3 linked regions of the Oryctolagus cuniculus genome follow. The protein of the gene in region 3 interacts with the protein of the main gene of each other region in a biochemical or structural test. Links are inferred from orthologs where the notes say so. Each region holds a gene or a part of one and is shown on either strand. Other genes may lie near its edges.

The links.
Region 1: the proteins of ARHGEF12 (region 3) and RPS6KA1 interact in a test that uses a peptide from one of them, tested with the Homo sapiens proteins (2 studies listed by BioGRID and IntAct, with this or other methods). The link is inferred for Oryctolagus cuniculus from reciprocal best matches to the Homo sapiens genes ARHGEF12 and RPS6KA1.
Region 2: the proteins of ARHGEF12 (region 3) and IGF1R form a complex in vitro, tested with the Homo sapiens proteins (2 studies listed by BioGRID and IntAct, with this or other methods). The link is inferred for Oryctolagus cuniculus from reciprocal best matches to the Homo sapiens genes ARHGEF12 and IGF1R.

Annotation. Positions count from the first base shown.
Region 1 is NC_091438.1:144,943,243-144,946,742, forward strand, and holds part of RPS6KA1 (ribosomal protein S6 kinase alpha-1), read right to left. Parts: intron 2,201-3,500; coding exon 2,070-2,200; intron 287-2,069; coding exon 161-286; intron 1-160. UniProt on the Homo sapiens protein: Serine/threonine-protein kinase that acts downstream of ERK (MAPK1/ERK2 and MAPK3/ERK1) signaling and mediates mitogenic and stress-induced activation of the transcription factors CREB1, ETV1/ER81 and NR4A1/NUR77, regulates translation through RPS6 and EIF4B phosphorylation, and mediates cellular proliferation, survival, and differentiation by modulating mTOR signaling and repressing pro-apoptotic function of BAD and DAPK1.
Region 2 is NC_091443.1:8,487,693-8,491,192, forward strand, and holds part of IGF1R (insulin-like growth factor 1 receptor), read right to left. Parts: intron 3,343-3,500; coding exon 3,135-3,342; intron 1-3,134. UniProt on the Homo sapiens protein: Receptor tyrosine kinase which mediates actions of insulin-like growth factor 1 (IGF1). Binds IGF1 with high affinity and IGF2 and insulin (INS) with a lower affinity. The activated IGF1R is involved in cell growth and survival control.
Region 3 is NC_091432.1:112,976,042-112,979,541, reverse strand, and holds part of ARHGEF12 (rho guanine nucleotide exchange factor 12), read right to left. Parts: intron 2,014-3,500; coding exon 1,543-2,013; intron 740-1,542; coding exon 423-739; intron 1-422. UniProt on the Homo sapiens protein: May play a role in the regulation of RhoA GTPase by guanine nucleotide-binding alpha-12 (GNA12) and alpha-13 (GNA13). Acts as guanine nucleotide exchange factor (GEF) for RhoA GTPase and may act as GTPase-activating protein (GAP) for GNA12 and GNA13.

The DNA of each region.
Region 1 (3,500 bases), on a different chromosome or scaffold from region 3:
GGGGGATGGATCCCATGGATCCCACTCTGCAAGGCCCCCGAGTCTGAGCCGCACACCCATAGAGCCCCAGGCATCAGCCCTGGGCACCCGGGGTCCCAGCTGCATTGGCCTCAGCCCCAGCCCAGCAGCAGCCTTGTTTAAGACGCGGCCGCAGGCTCACCTTGACAGCGTACTCCGTGTTGGTGGCCTTGTGGACACAGCGCTTGCACACGGAGTAGGAGCCCACACCGATTGTCTCCTTCACCACGTAGCCATCGCTGAAAACAAGGTTCTTCCCATGGAGTTGCTGCGGGAGATGAAGGAGAGCTGACCCTGGGCTCCAGCATGCCAGCGGTCATCCCCAGCACCCAAGGTCTCAGTAGAGATGGCAGAAAGCCCCCAGGGAGAGTCAGAAGGCCTGGGGTGGTGTTGGCTGTGCAACCCTTAGGCAAGAACCTACCCTTCTCTGGGCCTCAATTTTCTTTTTAAAGATTTATTTATTTGAAAGGCAGAGCTACAGAGAAAGAGGGAGAGACAGGGGACAGGAGCTTCCATCTGCTGGTTCACTCCCCAAATGGTCCCAACAGCCTGAGCTGGGCTGATCCGAAGCAGGAGCCAAGAGCTTCATCTGGGTCTCTCACATGGGTTGGGGGGCTCAAGTACTGGCACCATCTTCCACTACTTTCTCAGGTGCATTAGCAAGGAGCTGGATTGGAAGTGGAGCAGCTGAAGACTCAAACTGGCACTCATATGGGATGCCAGCACCACAGGCGGCAGCTTTACCCACTATGCCACATTGGCAGCCCCTGGGCCTCAGTTTTCTATTCTGTGCAGTGGGCACACCTGTAGCCTGTCTGGGCTACAGTCTGCAGTCAGGGGGCAGTGAAGGGGGCAGGCAGGAGTCACAAGGCACTCACCGAGCGGGTGATGTTTCTGAGAAGCCTGGGCAGGCCTACAGGGACGCAGGAGTCGCAGGGGCCTGGGCGAGGTCCCAGCTCTGCACTTGCTGTCTACCCTTTCTGGGTGCCCCAGCCCAGCTCATGGGTGCCTGAGGGTCTGAGACACGAACAACAGCGACAGCCCAGACGGTGTTCAGTGGGCGCCGTGGGCCAGGCAGTGAGCGCCGTGAGCACTTCTAGCAGGTGCCACACGGCCCGGGACAGCCCTGGCTGGTGGTGGCATCGTCACATGCAGCCCGGTTTAACATCTGTCCTGGGCGGGTGTTTGGTGCCACTTGGGACACCCGCATCCCATATCAGAGCCTGGTTTGAGTTTTGGCTCCTCTGCTTCTGGGCCAACTTCCTGCTAACGTACACCCTGGGAAGCAGCAGTGACGGCTCAAGTACTTGGGCCCCTGCCGCCCACATGGGAGCCCCAGGTGGAGTTCTGGGGTCCTAGCTTTGGCCTGACCCACCCCGTGGGCATCTGGGGAGTGAACCAGTACATGGGAGATCTCTCTCTGTCCCTTTCAAATAAAATGAAAACAAATAAATAAAAATTAAACTCCTGAAACATATAAAAACAAAGCATTTGCCCTGGACAAAGGTGCCCCGTCTGGATAATAAATTCTGTAGCCGTGTCCGCTTCACGCATGCTAACTCAGGTCATCCTCACGGCGACACCACAGAGGAAGGGTTGTCGCTGCCCGTTCAGACTGAGACACGGGGGCCAAACTCTCACCCACAGTCCCTCACCCTGCACTCGTGCCTCTGAACTCGCAGCTTCCCAAGGAGCAGTCCGAGTGTCCAAACAGGGACCAGTGTGAGGACACACAAGGGCCCGGCCACCCATGCCTACCAGGCACCCAACAGCTCCCCCACCCCCGTGCCCCTGGGCGCCCTGTGGCATTCACCCAGACCCTGGCTCCACGCCAGGGCATTCAGATCCACACTGTCACCCACTTGTCAGGGCCACCTTGTGAGGCAGGCATTATGGTCCCGCTTTACAAATAAGGAAAGTGAGACTCCAGGGCGGGGAGGCTCCACGGCTTCCACGCTGGTGTCGGGGTTTGAGCCAGGCCGGGGCTGCGCTCGCTGCTCTGTGGTTTCTGGACAGAGAGGACGACGGGCGGCAGTGCCTGCCCCGCTCACCTGTACCACGGAGTGCAGTGGTGCCTGCGTGGCCCGGGACTTGCTGTCGTCCTCCATCAGGCCGGTGGCCACGAAGCTGAAGCCACGGAACAGCTGATGAGCACCGGCGCTAGGGGGGATGCCTGGGGAATCTGTGGGGGCGGGGGAGGATGTGAATGAGGAGGGGCCCCTGAACCCACGGGGCTCCCAGCCTGCCTCAGTAGTTGCCACAGTGGGAGCTCGGGCAGGGCCTGTCCGTCCCAGGTCTTAGCTCACCTGTGTGCACATGCGTTTAGACCAGCCCAGTCCCACCACATGAGGAACACAGGACTCCCACATCCAGCCTCCCGGTCAGGCCGAGACAGGCCATCCCTCCCCGGAAGCCTCCTCCTTGGCCTCCTGGCCTCGGGGCTGCCCCCAGGGCCCACCTTCCACAACAGCCAGAGCCCCCGCCCTGCTTTCAAACGCTGCCCTCCGCCCTGGGAAAGAGTCTGACAACTGAGCTCCTTAGGATCCTAGTCTCTCTCTCCCTCTCCAGGGCTCAGCCAGGCTGACTTCCCAGTCTTCAGGGGACCCCCGAGCCAGTGCCCACGTGGCCCCTCCCACCAGATAATCCACTCCCTGCGCACCGTTCAAGGCCCGGCTCACACACGCTCTGCTCTGAGTCTCGCCTCCCTGCTCCCCCGGCCCCGTCCCTGTGAGTCTAACTCCCCACAGCAGCCTGAACTCCATGAGGCTCTGTCTTGCTCACTGTCAATCCCCCGTGACTGGTGCACAGCAGGAGCCTTGTACACGTCTGTCTGCTAACCGGATAAAAGCGAGACAGTTTGCAGAAGTGCTGACTGCCCGTCCCCAGAGGAATGCAAGGTGCGTCGAGACCACCACCCCCTCTGCTAATAAAACACACCTCACCTGGAGGCCTCCCAGCACCGACATCTCACTCCCCGCTCACTGCCCAACTCTAGCCAAAAAGTTAGGCTTTACCAAGCTCCCTCCTTCCTGCAGCAGCCTCGGGGAATGAGTGGGTCTGTGGCCATGCCCAGGCTACGGACGAGTACGCCGAGGCTCGGCAGCCAGAGCCGGTTCCCACACTTGCCCTGACCCCTGGGCACCGGCACCCCTGCTCCGCCAGGCCGCTCTGCCACACGGTGCTGCAGGGCGGATTCCTTCCCCCTGACGTGAGTGTAAGCCGGGTGCCTTCGGTCTTCCCAGGCAGCTGGAAGACGCCGGGGGCAGGGGTCCTGCCTTTCCACTGCGGCCGTAACCACCCACACCCCCCACTCCTCACCCAGACACGAGGAGGCGTGCAGAGCCCCGGAGCGGGAGAGTCAGGCAGAGCGAGGCAGGTCCACAGTCAGGCACTCACCCTGCCTCCCACCCACCTGCCCCTGCCACGGCCCTCCAGGGTGCCCCTGGCTCCGTGCTACCCTCCTGTACCAGCCTCAGACAGAC
Region 2 (3,500 bases), on a different chromosome or scaffold from region 3:
GCCTTGGAAGACAAGGAATCATTCAGCCCCCTTGGATAAAAACCGACAAGCAACACGGGCTTTCCTTACTTCCTCCACTCTGCAGCCTCAGGCGCAGCAAGCGACTCCCTGGCTCCCGGGGCAGGCACTGGCTTACACCCAGAGGCGGGCAATGCCACGGCCACTCTCGGCCAGGCGCTAAGCTGGTGGCTGTTTCACTGGTGCCCTGGGGGCCCTCTCAGTCACAGATCTTACAGTTAAGCAAGAAAAGGGGCAAGCCTGCTGGCTACACACAGATTTATCAGCAGTGAGGGCACAGTGAGGTGCGGGCCACAGTCCCTGGGGAGACGGGGGAGAGGGGTTCCAGGGGCTGTGGGTGGTGACTCACCTCTGTAAGAGATGCCCTGATCCCAGCAGCACGTGCCAGCGTGGACCCCAAGACCCTCCCCGGGGGCTCCCGCTGATTCTCGTCCCCAGGCCCGAGCCTGTGCCACCCTCCTGCAGGCCTCTCCAGCCTGACTTTGCCTCCCACTAAGCATAGAGCACCTGCAGCCTCCCCAAGGCTCCAGAGAGGGGCAGAGTCTTCGTCACGACTTCAGCAGGCTTCCTACCGACAGCTACAGGATCTACTGGCGTAGGAGAAGCCCACAGGAAATCACTCAGGATGGTCGTCCACACCCAAAGGGCAGAAGAGGTGGCGGGAGGCACAGGGAGGCCCCTCCGACCGCCGCTGCTGCTGGGGCAGGTGGAAAGTGAGCTTCCTGGCTCCCCCCCTCCCCAGACACCTTTAAAGCAGGCTCCTGACAGGAAGCGTCCAGGTCACGACACAAAAGCAGTGCCTGGACAGAGGAACAGCAACCCGCAGTGAGCGTGGACCAGAGGTGCTGAGACTGCTGGCAAAGGGAGAGAGCAAACGGGATGAATCCCAGCTGCCCAAGGACCCGAGATGACACCCAGGACACAGGAGGCCGTCAGCGCCCTGCTGGGGTGCTCCCGCGGGGAGGGGCAGCCAGAAGTCACTGGAGGGCTCAGCTGATCCAGGCTGCGCACTGCCCCCGGGCAAACCTGGGAGGGAAGGCAGGTGCTGGGGAAGGGACCAGGGCTTTCATTCTAGAAGGGAAGAACGTAAGGAACCACATCTATCGCCAGGAGGACCTTTTTATTTACTTATTTTTTTTGTCAGGCAGAGTGGACAGTAAGAGAGAGAGAGAGAGAAAGGTCTTCCTTCCGTTGGTTCACCCCCGCAATGGCCGCTGCAGCCGGCGCACTGCGCTGATCTGAAGCCAGGAGCCAGGTGCTTCTCCTGGTCTCCCATGGGGTGCAGGGCCCAAGCACGTGGGCCATCCTCCACTGCACTCCCTGGCCACAGCAGAGAGCTGGCCTGGAAGAGGGGCAACCGGGACAGAATCCGGCACCCCAACTGGGACTAGAACCCGGGGTGCCGGGGCCGCAGGTGGAGGATTAGCCTATTGAGCCACAGCGCCGGCCAGGAGGACCATTTTTACACCCAGCAAAGCTCTTGCCTTGCCTTCAAAATCAACCCAGCACACACTATGTCTACAAGTAAGAAGCTATGGAGGGTCGTGTTGTGGCACAGTGGGTTGCACTGCTGGTTGTCACGCCAGCATCCCATGTGGGCACCAGTTCACATCTGGGCTGCTCTACTTCCAATCACGCTCCCTGCCAATGTGCCCGGGAATGGCACAAGTGCTTGAGCCTTTGCCACCATGTGGGAGACCCAGACGGAATTCCTGGCTCTTGGCTTTGGCCTGGCCCAGCCCTGGCCATTGCACCTATTTGGGGAGTGGATCAGTGGATAGAAGATGGACCCATTAATTCTCTCTCTTTCTCACCACCGTTCATATAAATTTTTTTTTAAATCTTAAAAAAAAAAATTGATTGATTTAAAGGCAGCACAGCAGAGGGAGGGATGGAGATGATCAATCTTCAATCCAATGCTTCACCACCCAAGTAGCCAAATGGCCAGGGCTAGTCCGAGCCAAAGCCAGATGCCTGGAACTTCCCCTGGGTCTCCAGGTGGGTGGCAGGCACCCAAGCACTTGGGTCATCTTCTACTGCCTTCCCAGGTGTGTTAGCCGGGAACTGGGCTGGAAGTGCAGCAGCAGGATGCAACCCAGTGCTCCAATGGGGGATGCCAATGCTCTGGCGTGGCTCAACCCCCTGCACCGGCCCCAGCAACGCAGTTTTACAGCAGGAAACTGGACTTGCAAGTGAGTCTTTCCACCTCCACACTGCTCTGTTCCTTTTCCTTTTCCAGACGCTGCTGGCCTCCCCTGCCGCACCTTCCCCTGCCTTTTAAAATATGCTATTTTGTTTACTATTTTTTTATTATGGCAAAGTAAACCTTAAAAATGCGATGAAAGTGCATGCAACATAAAATTGTGGCATTTTAATTCAGGGGAGTTCACTGCATTCACTATGCCACACAGTCACTGACACCTTTTCAAAAACTTGGGATCACTCCAGACAGGACCTCGCCCCATCACAGGGCGTCCTCCAGACTTGCTCCTTTGTGTCTGCCCTGCTCCACTTGGGACAGGGACAAGCCGTAGTTTCAAGCTTGTCCCTGTCATCGGGTCAGAATCCCCTTATCTGGCTGCACGATATTTCTTGGGATGTTTCCACCACAGCGCTCATCCGTTCACCTGCAGATACTGGAGCTACTTGCAGCCTTGGGCTGCTACGGACGGCACTGCTGGGAGCCGTTCCGCCCCCCACTGCCGTCCCCACTATGCAGAAAGAGCGCTCGGAGCAGCCAGAATCCGTGGGGCAGGTGCTGCGTTGCCTGGAAAGCCCATGTTCTACGCTGCTTCCCACCCTTGGGTGTGGAGCGTGCCTGGGATACTGGGCTATTTTCGGAAGCCGGGCCCCCCACAGAACTGGCTCTGCTTTTGCCCCTTTTGCAACAAGACTCCTCCTCAGCAGGCTGAGAGAGGCCCACGTCCTGGCGTTCCCACTCGCGAGCGTGGACAAGCGCCTGATGCCCTCTGCGCCCCGGCTCCTCAGCAGTAGGACAGGAGCCACCTGTTCTCTACAGGAGGCTGTGCCCTGAGCGTGGGTTACACCTGTAGGGAGCAGCAGTGCCGCCTGTCATGGCTCCCTCAGTGGCCAGTGCTGACCTGCCTGACCCGTACCTGGGCACGAAGATGGAGTTGTGCAGGAAGTTCTCGAACACCTTGCGGTACTCCGCCTCCTCCTTCTCAGCCTGCTTCTCGGCTTCGGTCTTGGGGCACGCGCAGCAAGGCCCCTTCTCTCCGCCACACACCTCCGTCTTGGGGTTCTCCGTCACCTCCTCCACGTCGATGGTGCCGTCCGCATACTTCCTGATGGGAATTTTGTCTTCTCCAGGAAGAAAAGCGGAAGTGGCGGTGTGAATGAGAGCTGAGCCATACACGCGCAGGACAGACACGAGCTGTCAGCCCCTCTCAGAGGAGGGCAGCTGGCTGCCAGCAAAGGCTCATGCAGCTCCCTGCGTGCACCACCCAGGGCACGGACGCATC
Region 3 (3,500 bases):
CACTTTCTGTCTGTCACAGCATCTGGGAAACCACCAACTTTACCTGGCGAGTCACAGATAATTAACAGGAGATAGCGGGCACAGCATTGCCCAGACTAGATTCTTAGCTACACGAACCCCACTTAGCCCCCTTACCGTTCCTATTATCCCACAGAGGCCAGCCAACTTCCCCAGGCAGTTTTAGGCTCTTAAAGTTAGAAATTCACCCAAACACACTGTTTGTAGAGCTATAATGTTTTCTGTCACAAGATAAACGATGCTGACATTGCATTTTGTCCACGCCTATTCATGGATATTGCTCAAATAAACATACAGATCTAGAACCTGAACAAGGCTCCGACGCTGGCATTTCAGTAACCCCACACTCCCCTCTGTGAAATGCACTTTAGAATCAACTCTTAACATGTTTAAGTGTGAGGTACCTTTAAGTGTTCAAGGTCAGCCTCTATCTTATGAATGTACTCCATGATCAGGCTGTGTGAATCTGCACAAGACAGAGGACTCTGGATCTCAAAACAGGAATCCTCCATAGCTCCCCAGCGCTGCTGGACCAGGAATTCTGGGCTGAAGGGTGAAACGGCCTCCTCAGAATAAGCATTTTGGGGCGAATGCTGCTGCGGGTAGGGAGAGTCTGCAGAGGGGATGCCTGTGGCAGGCTGCAGGGCGAGTGAGGAGGCGACCTCCTCGTCTGTAGAGCTCTCCTGCATGAGTTCATAGCCATCAAGGATCAGACAGGTTCCTGTCAACAGAGACAGAGCACTCTGATGAGATCAGTGCTGCCCTCAGAACCAGAGCAGGAGGTAGGAGGCTGACAACTTGCAAAGCTATTAGACAGGAGGAAAAGATATTAATTCCTAAGTTTAGGTTTAAGCACATCAGACAGGTCTCTCACTTCAGATTAAAAGTAAACTGAGCCAACATTCATAGCCATTTCTAAGTAATTTCATGTAAGCATTTTGAAAGCTTAAAGCTGGAAACCTCAGTCTCTACGTGATCTTGCTACCACTTCCCCTGTCATTACCTCTCGTCTCACCTCCTGCCATCTTCTCCCTCACCCCACAGACCGTAACTACGAAAACCTTCCTATGATGTCAGCCCACTCTGCTCTCTGCAGGAGCTCTACTCCCAGGTATCCAGGTGGCTTTCCCTCACCTTAATAAGGTCTCTGCTGAAACACTACATGGCAGAGCACCTCCGCTGCCCTCGTTCCTTTCTGCCCTTAGCCCGACCTAGTCTCCCTAATTTCTCACTATCTGACATTCGTTTGTTTCCTATTTCTCTTTCCCCTCCTAAGTACTTAACCTTAATGAGATTAGGGATCTTTTCTTTTTTCCATTTTATTTACTGCTGTATCTCACAGCACCTAGCATGAGGTCTGATGTAAACTCAGTAAATATTTATTGAATGAAGGAAAAAATAAATAATACACACACACACACACACACACACATATAATGCTTGATTATCAAAACAACATCAATTTCAGCACACAGGACACTTTAACAAGGATCAAAATCAAGTTGAAATGTGAAAGAAACTTGCCTGAGATGCGTAAATTAACATCCTTCTCTTCCTTTTTAACTGCTCCATCACCTTCTGATGGATTATCATCACTATGTGCTTCACGGGCATCAAAAAAGTGCTCTCCACTCTCATCAAGACCCCCTTCTGGCTCTGTGGTAGGCATCTCTGGGGTCATAATCATGTGGTCCATTACTAAAATGCTACTTGCCTGGCTATCTTGGGATGCCAGTACCACTGAATCCCGTGGAGCAGAAGATTCAGTTGAAGTCCGTGGACTGTAACAAGTTGCAATGTCACCAGTTCCAGTTCTAACGGGTATCTGTCCTTCACCAGGGTGATACGCCTGAATATTTTCAGAGTTCTGGGTTCCACTGTCTGCCTGAGCCCCCCGAGAGGCTGTCCTCTGTCTTGGGAAATGTTGCCAGTCTTCCTGAGTGCTCTTCTCAGTCAAACCCAGCTGTTGTGCCAGCAACTGCTTCAACAAACCCACTAAAATTTTTAGGAAGGGTAGAAGAAGAAAAAAAACAACAAATTTGCAGCTAAAATCTCAGACTGCCAGAAATAAATTAGTTAGCTGAATTATCAATTATCTCTAATCAGGTATCTTTTACTAACATACAGCCAAAATATTAATTTCATGCCATCGTTTTTTAATTTTGCTTTGAAAACTAGAATAAAGCACCATCTTCCAGAAAAGACACTAAACTAGACTAGAAACATCTAGCATTTTGAATAGGGAAACACTCTTATTAGAACTCCTAAAAATACAGTGTGTGCTTCTCTTTTTTTCTGCCATTTAACTAGAATAATACTCCAAAGGTCTTGGGGTGTTGAAATACCCCAAAGGTATTTGAGAGGCTGTCTTAAGCTAGATGATAAAAACCAAAAAGTTCTGCCTTTTCTAGAAGCAGACACCATATGCATAGGCATATTTTTTCTAATTTTATTAGACATTTAGAGCATTTACTTTATTACACAATCTCTCTAAATGGTGAAGAAGGAAATAAAACTGCCTCCTAATAAAATTTTAATTCCAATAATTTGGTAATACATATAATTTCAAGGCATAAGGAAATATTTATCAGTTTTTAAAAAAATTACCTTCCTGGTGGCAGTTTCTTTTACTTTGTTGAAATAAAGATCAATTTAATTTTAATGGCCAAAGTACATGCTATGAAGTCACTCACACAGTAACAGCTACTGGAGCAATGCTAATAGGACCACAGAAATCACCGAGACTGCTAACTCCAGATGTTACTGAAGACACTGAGCCAATCCCCCAGTTTCATCAGGACGTGATTTGTTTCTTTAAGTATCGGTTCCTACCCCGGTATCAGTCTCTGACCCTCTTCTGTTCTGCACTCACTTACTCACAGATGTTATGGGTTTCTATGACTTTGACACTCAAATCTCTTTTCTTAATCACTTTTCAAAGTTGCAGTGCGAACACCCCAACTTCCTGCTAATCACTTCCTCTTGAATGATTTGCCATCCATTAACTTAATCCCAACATGCTTTAAAACTGAGCCCATAATCTCTGCCAAACAAAAAAAGGGAAAAATGAAGTGCAGTAGCAGGAGATGACAGAGCCACTGGCCATCCTTCCTAACTCTTATTTCTGGTGAGAAGCTGCAGTTATCTCTAAACATACCCTTTCCTTCACCCTCACATCCATAGAAGTCAACTGTCTTAAGTCATTGTTGGCTCCTTGCTTTATATTTATTCCTTCCAACACCATTTTAGTTCAAATACTTTTAGTCTCAAGCCCAGACTACTACAATTGATGCCTTAGTAAATGCACCACTTCAAACTTCTATTCAAATCCTTGCACGGCTTGATCTTTTTTCCTTAGTCACACTCTAGCTTAAAAATTTCAAATGCTTCCATGCAGTTAGAGCAATTTTTCTCAGACTGTTCCCCATCGTGGTACAGATGAGAGATATGCTATCCTCCCATGTGGACCAGTGATTCTCAAC